Arabidopsis thaliana: one gene and its partners. The protein of the gene in region 1 interacts with the protein of each later gene in a pairwise test. Each region holds a gene or a part of one and is shown in the gene's direction. Other genes may lie near its edges.

Region 1 (3,501 bases):
TTTGTGTTGTGGGTTTTTGATCAATTTTACATTTTTTGATGTAAGGGTTTAGCTTTGTAAGTTTGTTGTTTGGGAAGCTTAAAGCTTAGATTTTTGGGATATAAGTGTACATTGAAATGGTTGAAGATGTGTATGTTGTGAATTAGTTAAATGCTCTGCCACTTTAAGTTAGTGTTTCTTGCGGAATTGTGAGTAGTGACCTCTTACTTTTGTGTCTTTGAGGAACCATGGTCCCTTAGCTCTGTTGCATAAGCAGTTGTTGGTATCTCGCTTGACTTATTACTTCATTTGATAGCTAATAGTTTTGTTTAGTTGCTGAATTTGGTGTATGATAGATATTAAACCCTTCTGTTGCTATCATAACTGTATGATTTGTAATTTTGTTGATGGTTTTAAGTTTATATGTTGATGAGCAGGAGATGTTCATGGTCAGTTTCCAGACCTCTTGCGGTTGTTTGAGTATGGTGGTTATCCACCAGCTGCGAACTACTTGTTTCTTGGGGATTATGTTGATCGTGGTAAGCAGAGCATAGAGACGATATGCCTTCTTCTTGCCTATAAGGTCAAATACAAGTTCAACTTCTTTCTTCTCAGAGGCAATCACGAATGTGCTTCAATCAACCGTGTATATGGATTCTACGATGAATGCAAAAGAAGATATAATGTTCGCTTATGGAAAACATTCACCGAGTGCTTCAACTGTCTGCCTGTTTCTGCTCTCATTGATGATAAGATCCTCTGCATGCATGGTGGACTATCGCCTGATATTAAGAGCTTAGATGACATCAGGAGAATTCCTCGTCCTATTGACGTTCCTGATCAGGGCATTCTTTGTGATTTGTTGTGGGCTGATCCTGACAGAGAGATTCAAGGCTGGGGGGAGAATGACAGAGGTGTCTCTTATACATTTGGGGCTGACAAAGTAGCTGAGTTCCTTCAAACTCATGACCTTGATCTTATATGCCGAGCTCATCAGGTAAAGCTAAAATTTATTCCTTGAGTTCTCTCTTTTGATTTCTCTGGATTGGTTTGTTCTTCTCTGTGACTGTTCTCTGAATTCAGAGGGTTAAGAAATCATAACTCAGTTGTTAATGCAAGGATCTGTAGTTTTTTCACCAAGCCAAGTTTTACTTAACTATACTGTTCCTGCAGGTTGTAGAAGATGGATACGAGTTCTTTGCAAAGAGACAACTAGTGACAATATTCTCTGCACCCAATTACTGTGGCGAGTTTGACAATGCTGGTGCATTGATGAGTGTTGATGATAGCTTAACATGTTCATTCCAAATCCTTAAGGCATCTGAGAAGAAAGGAAGATTTGGATTCAACAACAATGTTCCTAGACCAGGAACCCCACCTCATAAGGTGTGAAAATACTATCCCCCTGTATATAGATGCAATGTAGGTAGATGTTAGATATCAGGTTTGATATGTTAACATTCTTGCAGGGTGGAAAAGGTCGTTAACTCGTCGTCGATGGGTTCAAGAAACGAGTGAAACCGACGGGTTCGAATTTTGTAAGGCAAACAGTTTGTTTTGTTAGATTGTTATCTGTTTTCTTATGGTTGAGGCAACATTATGTTTTGTTTAGATTTTTTTTGTAAAAATTGTGGAAGATGTTCACAGCATTTTCAACTGAAGAAAGTTGGGTTTTATACAACTAACCTTTTAGAAACATATTCTAAAAACATAAACGTAAAATTTATAAAAATAATAAAATGAAACTTGAAAAACAATTATCTTATTTGACGTAATATATACTATAAGCTAAATAATAAGAGAAGAGGTAACCTAGATTTGAGGATAGATACTGCTTTTATCTTCTTCACGCGTCGCCGACGCGTATGCTTGTTCCCGTAGGCACCAAGGCAATCTATATAAACATATTGAGTGAAGTTTCACAATCTTTCACCATCAATTCCACAATTCTGCTTCTTCTTTGTGTGTTATCTCTCTGTCGGAGAAAAAAAAAACCCTAGTTTCTTGCTTGGCGAATCAAGGCAAAATCACGATGAAGCAAGCTTCTTCTTCTTCGTCATGTAATCCAACAAGTTTAACAAACAGACTTAAAACAATCTTTAAGAAAGCAGAAGAGCTTTCGATTCTCTGTGCTATTGACGTTTGCGTCATCTATTACGGACCAGACGGTGATCTGAGAACATGGCCTAAGGATAGAGAGACAGTGAAAAATATGGCTTTGAGGTATAAAGAGGACAGAAAACGCAAGAAGTGCCTCAATCTTCATGAGTTCCTCGAGAAAGAGAAGGTGAAGGACAAAGACAAGTATAAGGGGAAGACGAATTATGTGAAGAACCCTAATTGGTATCCAAACTTTGATCATTACTCTCCTCAACAACTCTCTCAATTGATTCAGTCCTTAGAACGAACACTTTCTACTCTCCAAAAAAGGCTTCGTATTGTTGAGTCGCAGAAAAAACAGAACACAAACTTGGTGCATCAGAGTTTAACACCATCGTATCTGAACCAGACACAACACTTGGATCCTAGCAAGTTCTCGCTGTATATGTACAACCATGGAGATGCTACTCTCTCACAACTCCCACTGTCTGCTTCACAATCCAATCAACTCATCAATTACCAGATGCAGCATGGTTTTGGTCAGAACATGTGTTTGGACAACATCACCAACAACAACAACTTTCAACATCCTGGCGTGTCAAACACACAAGACTACTCACCGTTACTTTCGGCGAATAACTACGGGTTGAATAATCACTTGATGCAGCAACAGGATCAGCTTCATGGTTTTGATCAGAACTTGTGTATGATGAGTGAAATCATCAATAACAACAACGGTTTACAACATCCTAATCTCTCAAACACTGTTCCACATGAATTCCCTTATGGTAACACTAGCTTCTCTCAAGATATGTTTTCGAGCTATGATGGGAGCAGTTTGCTACAGACATCTTCTCTGCCACCTCTCCACAACATTCCTAACAGCTATTGTTTTTCTGACAACTCAAGACTTCTCTGCTAACAAATCTGTCCAAAAGGATTTGTTTTTTGAAGCTTCATTAAGAGTCAGTCAATACTTATAAGTAGGAAGCTGATCAGAGAGAGATTGAAGCTGTTTTTGCTTCTGAATTCTTCCTGCTACTGTCTTTTTTTATTTTACAGTGTTGTTATAACTGTAAAACAGATCCATTTGTGGAGATTTTGTTTTTACTTTTAAGTTGGTATTTCAGTTAGTATTATATATATATATATATATATATATATGAACTTCCATAAAAGTCTTTCACAAAAACTTGCATGAAACAAATTATAATCTAAAATCACTTATGGTGACAAGACTGTTTCAATTGGTTGATACAACCTGCAAAGTGAAATCCTTTACTCTTGCATCTTATAACAAACTTGTAACTTAGTATCCTTCTTGTCTGAATCAGCTAATATATACATGAAGATGGAAAGTAGCTCTGATTTCGTGAAGACAAATTCTCTGCACCCAATTACTGTGGCGAGTTTGACAATGCT
Region 2 (3,405 bases), on another chromosome or scaffold:
AAAAAATATATATATATATACAGAGCCGTTTTTTCTTCTCAAAAAACTTAACAATAATAATGATGGAGAAATGAATTACCTTCTAACCAAAACGCTTTTCTAAACTTGAACATATAAGATGGTTTCACATTTAAATTATTTTGCACACTACACCGTGGAAGAAGATGTCATGTCATGCCACCCATCTCTCAATTTGGTTATCTTCTTCTTCTTCTTCTTCTTTTTCTGAATTGAAAGCCCCAAAACATTTGCATCCATTTTGTTTCTATATGATTCTCGCAAACTCATGTGGTCATTTTGTAGCAGCGGGTGTGCATGGAAAATGTAAGAAGATAAGACCAAGTAAAACGCAACAAAACGGCCAAAGGTTTATTGATATTCATACCAGCGATTGGGTGGACCAAACTCAGTGAGTCGTGAGGGGTTAACAGCGTCCATCACATTAGGTATCACAAAAGTCTCAACTTTCATTATTTACGTCATTCTTTCGTTTCTCTGGTAGACGTATTTAGATGAAAGAATGGAGGATCTAAGATTATGAGAAAGGAAAGAAGAAGAAGAATTTAAACCTGTTTTTATCTTCTTGAGAATGGCTTATACGGTTGCTCTTGAGATCGTAAATTAACTGGCAGAGGGTTTGAAAGATGGGAGAGAAAGTAAAGAATCTTAATAACGTGGAAGAAGTAGTTGCTGAAAAAGTGGTTAAAAAAATTTAAATTTATCTTTTGTCAAAAAAGAATATTCTATTGAATAGTAAAAGGAAGTGAATTGGTTTACGATTGTGGAAGTGCAAAATTTTAGACTTAAAGCATACGTGTCAAAATGAGAAGCTTACAGTTTTTTTAAAAGTGACTGTTGATTTAGTATTATTAGATTTAGTTGCCGCGAAAAAGTTTAATATATAGTGTTTTATGTACTTATTATAGGTAATGTTCAAAAAAATAGCCTAGACATCTATCGAACGTCTAGCTACCGTACAACGATTTTTTGAACATTGATTATAGGTAACTAAATCTACATATACATTTTTGCCGCCATTTTGTGAAATAAATCTTAGAGTTGGAACTTATTTATAATGGCTGCCACTAGCTTTTAATTATTGTTTTTTTTGCAATAAATTAATTAACAAGCAAAAAAAATTCCAAATATATTCTAATCCCATATATCACGCAGATTTCTCCAAAATTGAACTAAATTTCGGTAACTATTTAAAACAAAAAATGTTTGACAAACCAAAATACAATTGCAATCCCTTAAAATGAGCAAAATGCACCTAAATACATTTCTTATCAATTCACTAAATCTAATTTCTCCAAAATTTGAATTAGATTTCGACAAATATTTTTAAAAAAATTTGTTTGACAAACTAAAATACAATTGCAATCCCGTAAAATATTTATTTTAATTATATATTTAAATTAACGGTGTACCACTGGGTTTTTTTACGGGACGAGTTTGGCGGAACGGGTTTGAAAGAACGTTACTTAATAACAATTGTAAACTATAAAATATTTTTATTTTATAGATAGATATAATTTGCAAACTTTTATATATACTGATTTAAAAAAATAAATTATTTCTACGGTATAACGCGGGTTAAAATCTAATATTTAGATAATTTTGAATATCCAATATATATGTTTAATTGTTTATAGTAGTAATAATTTTTTTCTGCTATTGTTGTAATAAAAGAAATCTCTAAAACGTTTTAGTAGGAAAGAAAAAAAACGTTAAATGCATAGAAATAAAGTTGGGCAGTAAAAGGAAAACAACAAGACCTAATTAAGTTTGACATATATAACTCAGGCGGCTATTACATCTATAAATATGGGTAATATATCTATCTTGCTTCTACTCTCTCTTTTCACTTTTTCTCTGTGTCTATTTGTCTCTCCGTAAGAAACATTATGCCTTCATCTGATTCCACGATGATGAAGAAAGGAACAAAGCGCAAAATCGAAATAAAGAAACGAGAAACCAAAGAGCAACGAGCCGTGACTTGCTCTAAACGCCGTCAAACTGTTTTTTCCAAAGCCGCCGATCTCTGTCTTATCTCCGGTGCTAACATCGCCGTCTTCGTAACCTCTCCCTCCGATAGTTCCGATGTTGTCTATTCCTTCTCCGGTTACTCCTCTGCCTACGAAATCGCTGATTGTTACCTAAATCGCAAGCCTCCACCCAAGATTGTTAACCCGGCCGGATCCAAACTAGGATTTTGGTGGGAAGACCCTGATCTCTACCATTCGTGTGATGATCTCTCTGAGTTAAGCATTATCGAGGATCGTTTACAGAGAATGAAGAAGCATGTGATGGCTTGCCTTGAGAAGGAAGAAAAATCTCAACTTGTTTCTAGTTTCGACCAAAACCCTAATAGTACTTGTTCTCTCGACGTCGAGGATTGTGATGGATCTTCTTATTCGCAAATTGCTTCTACTTTTACTCCAAACTCTGTCAACGAGTATTGCAGCGATCAAACCTTTTCTTCTTTCCATGGCGATCAAAACCCTAACCTCTCGTCTCCGTCTTTTGATCAGGACTGTTACTCCTCTCTCTATCAGATCTGTGGAGAATCATCTTCACAAGTTGCTTCTTTTGATCAAAACCCTAGCTCCGAGATCCAAGGATTTGAAACAGAGGAAGAGATTAACCAAATCAATCTACTACTACAAGAAACACAAACAGAGGCCAATGTCAATTTGGATGATGAGATCTGCTTTTGGAATGATCTATCCAACGATGATGTGTTTGGTCTAAACAGCTACTTCGGTCTCGATAACACCAATGCAATGATCAACTTCGGAGATTCCGACTTTAGACGTCATGTCTGATATGATGTGGTTGTAATCTTCAGAACTTGTTCTGATTTTGTCTCATTGTAAACAGAGATTCTTGATCCAATTTAAGTTTTTGTAAACCTTTTTTCCTTTATTGTTTGATACTCTGATGTGAACCCTTTCGAAGTTGAAAGTAAATTGTTTGAATCAGTTTTGCAATTCCACTTACTAGTTTGTTGATGTTAAATTCAAGTTAGTGATTTGAATTTGGATTCTCAGAAAAGAAGAACACAGTTTTTGGAGCTTTTGCTTGTAATTTTACATGAGTTTTAGCCTTTAGCTGAACACTTTTTGATTCCTTAATGGTCATCTTGTTAGGTGATGTGTTTGAACTTTGAACAGAGTACTTGAGATTAATTTAAGATTATGTATGTAACGTAGATTAGATGAACATATTTATACCAACATTTTATTAAAAAAGTAACTATAATCATTTTTCGAATTAGTAATTAATTTTATAGTTTCTTTAAGGTAATCATATATTTTACAATTTGTATATTAAAATTAGCAGATCAAACTCTGTTTTTGATAGAGAATAAATAAACTTTGTTTTTGATAATCTTTTCCCTTA
Region 3 (2,731 bases), on another chromosome or scaffold:
AGGCGGACGTTGGAGGAGATGGAGAGGATGGAGGCGGCGGAGCTGAAAGAGCTTGAGGAGAAAGCGGAGACTGCTCGGAGAACGGGGAATTTAATGGAGAAAGCGGCGACAGTTGCCGCGAAACGACATATTGCGGCGGCGATGGGATCAGCCGCCGCGTCTATGAGATCAGCTTGGAAGACTGCAGCTGGAAATAAGGTTCATCCATCTTGATCGATGATGATGATGATGAATATGATAAGATGACGATGATTGTCAAAGTATTGGTCCCCATGTTATAGGATTAGTAGGTCAAGAACATTTTAATGAATAATTATTTCCTTTGATAAACATATGGGTTACTACTTACTATTGCCGAAGAATTATGAATTATAGGTAGTTTCTAGTTTATGTATCTGTAATTTGTAATCAATATATATTTATGGGATTATAGGAAGTCGTAAAATGTGGTACTAGTTTATTGGTTTGATGGTAGAACAGAAAAAAAAAAAAAAAAATTGGTGGGACACCTAAAAGTACGAAAAAATTACATAAAAAATATGCGTCATTCGGTTTTAGAAAGAAAGATATGTATGTGATGTTGTTATTCTATTATGCGGAAGCATTAAAGTTTGGGTGATTTAGTGACAAATTTGTCATAGAATCGACACATAGATCAGAATTGAGACAACGAACGAAAATCAACTATAAACCACCGTTTAAGTGCCCTTTCGGTTTCGACAAAAAAATGTGCCATTTCGGCTGATCTCTCGAAGCTTTATCTCTCCAAAATGTTTACATATGGCGCTTATGGAAAAGCAGAAACACGCTTATGTTCCATCAAACCAATAAACTAGTACCACATTTTACGACTTCCTTATAATCCCAAATATACTGTATATTGATTACAGTATACAAATTATTTTTACTCTAAAATGGTGCGTATCACAATACTCACCAAAAGAAAAGATCATTCATTAACACCAAATGATTAACAAATTAACAACAATGCCTAAAATGTCTCCACCGCGAACTATTTATATAATCTCCGACCAAGACTGCGTTGGCAAACTATCCGTCTTCGACGCTCCTCTGTTCATCAGATACCATATTTCTTGGCCCGCAAGAAATTATCTCTAGGGTTAGGGTTTTCGCAGATGGGTCATGGAATAAATGCGGTAATGCAAGAGGTTTTGGATTTGGGTTTACAATACTGTAAAAAAAATTATCTTCGCTCCAAAAAGTGAACCAAATAAAATTAGATTTGTTTGTTTTACTTTTTTCCTCCACGGGAAAGTAAATATATTAGTTCATTAAGAACACCACAAAAGAAAGGAAAAGAGTTCTCTACCTTTGTGTATTTTTTTTTCTAATTTTTTGCTAAGAGATTTTAGGAAAATAGTTAAAGAAAGGTAATATTAAAAAACATCTCAGATTATGGAAATTCTCCGAATATGGAATAAGACCAATAATGGGGAACATGCAATTAATTATGAAGAATAAATAAAATGTACTATAAAGAGAAGAATCTCTGTCTGTCTGTCTGTGTAATTGGGGTTTCTTTCTTGCAAGTGTTTCAACATGGGAGGCAAAAAAACAAAGATTGAGATTAAGAAGATCATAAACAAACCCGCAAAAACGGTTGCTTTCACAAAACGCAGGGAAGGTCTCTTCCGCAAAGCTTCACAGCTTTGTCTCCTCTCTCCAGCCACTCAAATCGCAATCTTAGCGGCTCCTATGACTTCCAAATCTCACGCTTCTTTCTACTCTTTCGGTCATTCCTCTGTCGATAACGTTGTCTCCTCTCTGCTTTATGACCATCCTCCTCTTACGGCAAACCAAGACAACAGGTCAGGGTTAGGGTTTTGGTGGGAAGACAAACGTTTTGACGTATCGGAGAACGTTGAGGAGTTAAAAGAGGCGGTCGATGCTGTTTCGAGGATGTTGAACAATGTGAGATGCCGATTAAATGATGCCGTGAAGAGTACTCAAAGAGATGGAGGTTTAGAGATTCTTCATCATCAGGAGGAGGAAGTTCTTCAGACTCGCAACGACGAGACAAAGACGAATCAAACTCACGAATTTGAAGGCGGCGAAACTTCTGGTTCTGCAAGTTGGTTAGAGAACGAGGATGATATTCTTCACTTTGATGATGATTTTTATACTGGTATTGATCCTTTGTTTTGATCAACTTATTTTATCATCTAATCTATTACTGATGCACTTGTTTGGATTTTAAGAGTGGCACAAATCTACTCAATAATAATAATATACGAAAACTTTTTCAAGTATATAAGATCCTAAATGTTAGTGTACATAAGGGCGAAAGAAGATTACGAGCCAAATCCCTCAGAGTCTTTTTATGGCTTATGAACAGGAAAGAATATTATCGGTCGAGTCAAATCATGGAACCTTTCATCTTTAGGAAGATCAATGGTCCGTTGATATCTCTCTCTCTCTATGCTTTTTCTGGGAATACCTTAAGGAGGAAATCGATGAATCGTTTAGAGTAAAGTGTAGGCTCGATGGCTGAAATTGTCATTGGATCATATTTCATAGATTTGCAAGTATGTTCCACTTTCTTCTTCATGTTGTACTCTTGGAGGATGTCAATGATGCCCATGTATACAACCACATCATATACTTCAAAGAGCTCGACCGTTCCTGATTCCTCGTTGTCTTGGCCGAGTTTGTGGTGGGCTTGAGCTGGCATGTTCACTCCTAACTGTACCCGGAGCCTGAATAAGATGAT
Region 4 (2,970 bases), on another chromosome or scaffold:
AAGGCCGCCTCGCTCTTATCTGGAGGCCAGAGTATAACAATGAGGTTTGACTTTACACTCGAGATATATCTTTCTTTTATGTTCACATAAACTACTTGCAACCAAATTGATGTCATTAGTAGCTCAAACGTTGGGAAATGTTCTGAAATCTACCTGTTCTTACTGCAATGTTATTGCTGCTCTTCAGTAGTTCTATATTCTTGAGCGAGCTAATAGAGTTGGTTATATGTTTATTCGTTTTGAAAAAGGTTAGTTTTAGCTAAGACTTGCATATCTCTTACAGATTTCCTTCGACCATAAAAGTGTCAAAGCAGAGCAAATCCACAGCAAATCCAGCAAAAGTTCCACTTAAGCAAACTACCCTTCCAATGGCAAAAGCTGCCCCACAAGATTCGGTATATCTTCTTGTATCCTTGTTTCTATCTATTGCTCAAAGATTAAAAACCACCACTCTAAATTGCTAAAGGCTGCTTATTTTTTCTCAATGTCGGTCTAGAATCTCTCCGGCATTTTGTTGACAGCCTTGAAAAATCTTCGGACTGATATTGTCAAAGAATCGCCAGATTTAGTCATGGCATATCATATATTCGGGTAAGTTGACGATCCATTTAATGATATTTTCAGTTTCTTTCTCAGATCATAAGTAATAGAAAAATCCTTGTGTGTTTATAGCAATGCGACGCTTAAAGAGATAAGTAAACGACTTCCCAGAACCAAAGAGGAACTCCTTGATATCAATGGTCTAGGAAAGTAAGTATCTTGAAGCTTTTTGAACGCTACTCTCTCTCTTTGTATAACCAAAGGTATGAAGAAAACTCGGGGGATTTTGGTGTTTTAAACTCTAAACAGAGCCAAGGTGAGCAAATACGGAGATCGGTTATTGGAAACCATAGATTCAACCATCAACGACCACTACAAAACCCGTCCCGGTTCAGGGAAGAGGAGAAGAGACGAGAACGTTAATCCGAATGTAGCAGAAGATGATGATCCCGATTGGAGTGCGAGTCAGTCTCACAAAAAGGTAGTGAAGAACAAAAAATAACACGTTCATAAACTTTAAAGGACCCAAACAAACTAAAAAATTAAGAAGCTATAGAAATCATTTACATTTGCAAAAATAGTAATTCAATACCATCTGTCAAGCAACATATTTGCCCATACCGGGGTGTGATTTAGGGTTAGGTTAAATAAACCTTTACACCTAATCCACCATGTCCCATGAACTATTGTTAATATGTCATATTCTGCAACTATTTATATACTCATGCAATTCAAATCATCCTTTCGGTATCACGTGTCAAATTTTCCTCATATTTAAATTTGTGTAATTGCAAAACCCTAGTTTCAATGGGTTATCTTATAATCTCAATTCACGACCCCTAAATGTCTCCACTGCGAACTATTTAATAACCTCTACCAAATATTAGTTTCAACGACTCCTCTGTCCATAATCGCATCTTAGCCACTCGACAAACAGAGGAAAGAGACGATATAGAGTGTCTCTTGTCGCGCAAGAAACCGTCTCTAAGGTTAGGGTTTTGGCATATGAGAGAATGTGAACATAAAAAAAGGAAAAACAAGTAGAAAAGAGTAGTACTCTTATGTATTTTACCAAAATAGTTCCAAAAAAAGGTAATCTTAGGAAACAACCCCTTTGCCAAAAAAAAACAAAAGGAAACAACCCATTATGGAAATTTTCTTAATAGAGAATGAATCAATAATGTAAAAAGTTGAGATATGGGAAGAGAGTACACTAGTATAAAGAGAGGACGATGAAAACAATCTCTGTCTTTCTGTGTAATTAGCTTTCTACAAGTTTCAAACAATCTCTGTCTGTAATTTGGCTTTCTTCCTTTGAAGTTTCAATATGGGAGGCACAAAAAGAAAGATAGAGATGAAGAGAATCGAAGATAAGAACGTGAGAGCAGTTGCTTTCACAAAACGCAAAAGCGGACTCTTCCACAAAGCTTCAGAGCTCTGTCTCCTCTCTCCGGGGACTCAAATCGCAATCTTAGCAACTCCTCTTTCTTCCCACTCCCATGCTTCTTTCTACTCTTTCGGTCATTCCTCTGTCGATCACGTTGTCTCCTCTCTCCTTCACAATCAGCATCCATCTCTTCCCACAAACCAAGATAACAGATCAGGGTTAGGGTTTTGGTGGGAAGACCAAGCCTTTGACAGATTGGAGAACGTCGACGAGTTGAAAGAGGCAGTCGATGCGGTTTCGAGGATGTTGAACAATGTGAGGCTACGATTAGATGATGCCGTGAAGAGCAATCAAAGAGATGGAAGTTTAGTGATTCATCAGGAGGATGAGGAGGTTCTTCAGCTTGGCTACAAAGACACAAATCAAATTACCAAACTCGAAGGTGAAACTTCCGCTTCTGCAAGTTTGTTAAAGAACGTAGTGGATAATCTACACATTGATGATCGTTATTACTGATTTCAACATTGATCCTTTGATTTAACCAACTTACTTAATCATCATGTCTTGTTTATTTAGGCTATTATCTAATCTAGCTGTGCATTATTATTTTTTGGATTTTTTCGGTGTTTTGGTTTGGGAAAAAAAAAAGCTACTAATATAAAACCAAAATTTTGTTCAGTTTGATTGAGACTGAAATACATTTAATTAAATAACAAAAGAAAGGTTCATTGTCGATTTTATTAGCAAACAAGTCAGTTGTCCAGCCTTTGGTATGAAGAAAGGTGGCGATTAGGTCTTTGTACCGTTTCTGATTCTTCTCGAACTCTGTTGGCTCTGTCTCGGCCTCGTGGTGGCTTGGTACAGTAGTGTGTAATTCCACTGGAGATAGAGAAAGAGGATTTGAGAAACTCATGTTGTGTTCTTTTGAAGATGAGTGCTGGTCTCTGTGTCCATGAAGCTAGTTTTCCCATATATTATTGCTGCTATAATCGTAACTAAACCTATCCATAAACTTATCCATTAGATCGCAGGGAATGTTTCAT

What was found.
Region 2: the proteins of AGL52 (region 1) and AGL39 interact in a two-hybrid assay, tested with the Arabidopsis thaliana proteins (one large-scale study listed by BioGRID).
Region 3: the proteins of AGL52 (region 1) and AGL56 interact in a two-hybrid assay, tested with the Arabidopsis thaliana proteins (one large-scale study listed by BioGRID).
Region 4: the proteins of AGL52 (region 1) and AGL55 interact in a two-hybrid assay, tested with the Arabidopsis thaliana proteins (one large-scale study listed by BioGRID).

Annotation. Positions count from the first base shown.
Region 1 is NC_003075.7:6,847,567-6,851,067, forward strand, and holds AGL52 (AGAMOUS-like 52), read left to right. Parts: upstream 1-2,011; coding exon 2,012-3,001; downstream 3,002-3,501. Other genes in the region: TOPP7 (Calcineurin-like metallo-phosphoesterase superfamily protein), read left to right, coding at 417-976, 1,153-1,365, 1,449-1,466.
Region 2 is NC_003076.8:9,544,726-9,548,130, forward strand, and holds AGL39 (AGAMOUS-like 39), read left to right. Parts: upstream 1-1,821; 5' UTR 1,822-1,907; coding exon 1,908-2,828; downstream 2,829-3,405.
Region 3 is NC_003070.9:22,410,015-22,412,745, forward strand, and holds AGL56 (AGAMOUS-like-56), read left to right. Parts: upstream 1-1,560; coding exon 1,561-2,166; downstream 2,167-2,731. Other genes in the region: MEE9 (maternal effect embryo arrest 9), read left to right, coding at 1-213; AT1G60890 (Phosphatidylinositol-4-phosphate 5-kinase family protein), read right to left, coding at 2,438-2,717.
Region 4 is NC_003070.9:22,429,165-22,432,134, reverse strand, and holds AGL55 (AGAMOUS-like 55), read left to right. Parts: upstream 1-1,773; 5' UTR 1,774-1,867; coding exon 1,868-2,443; downstream 2,444-2,970.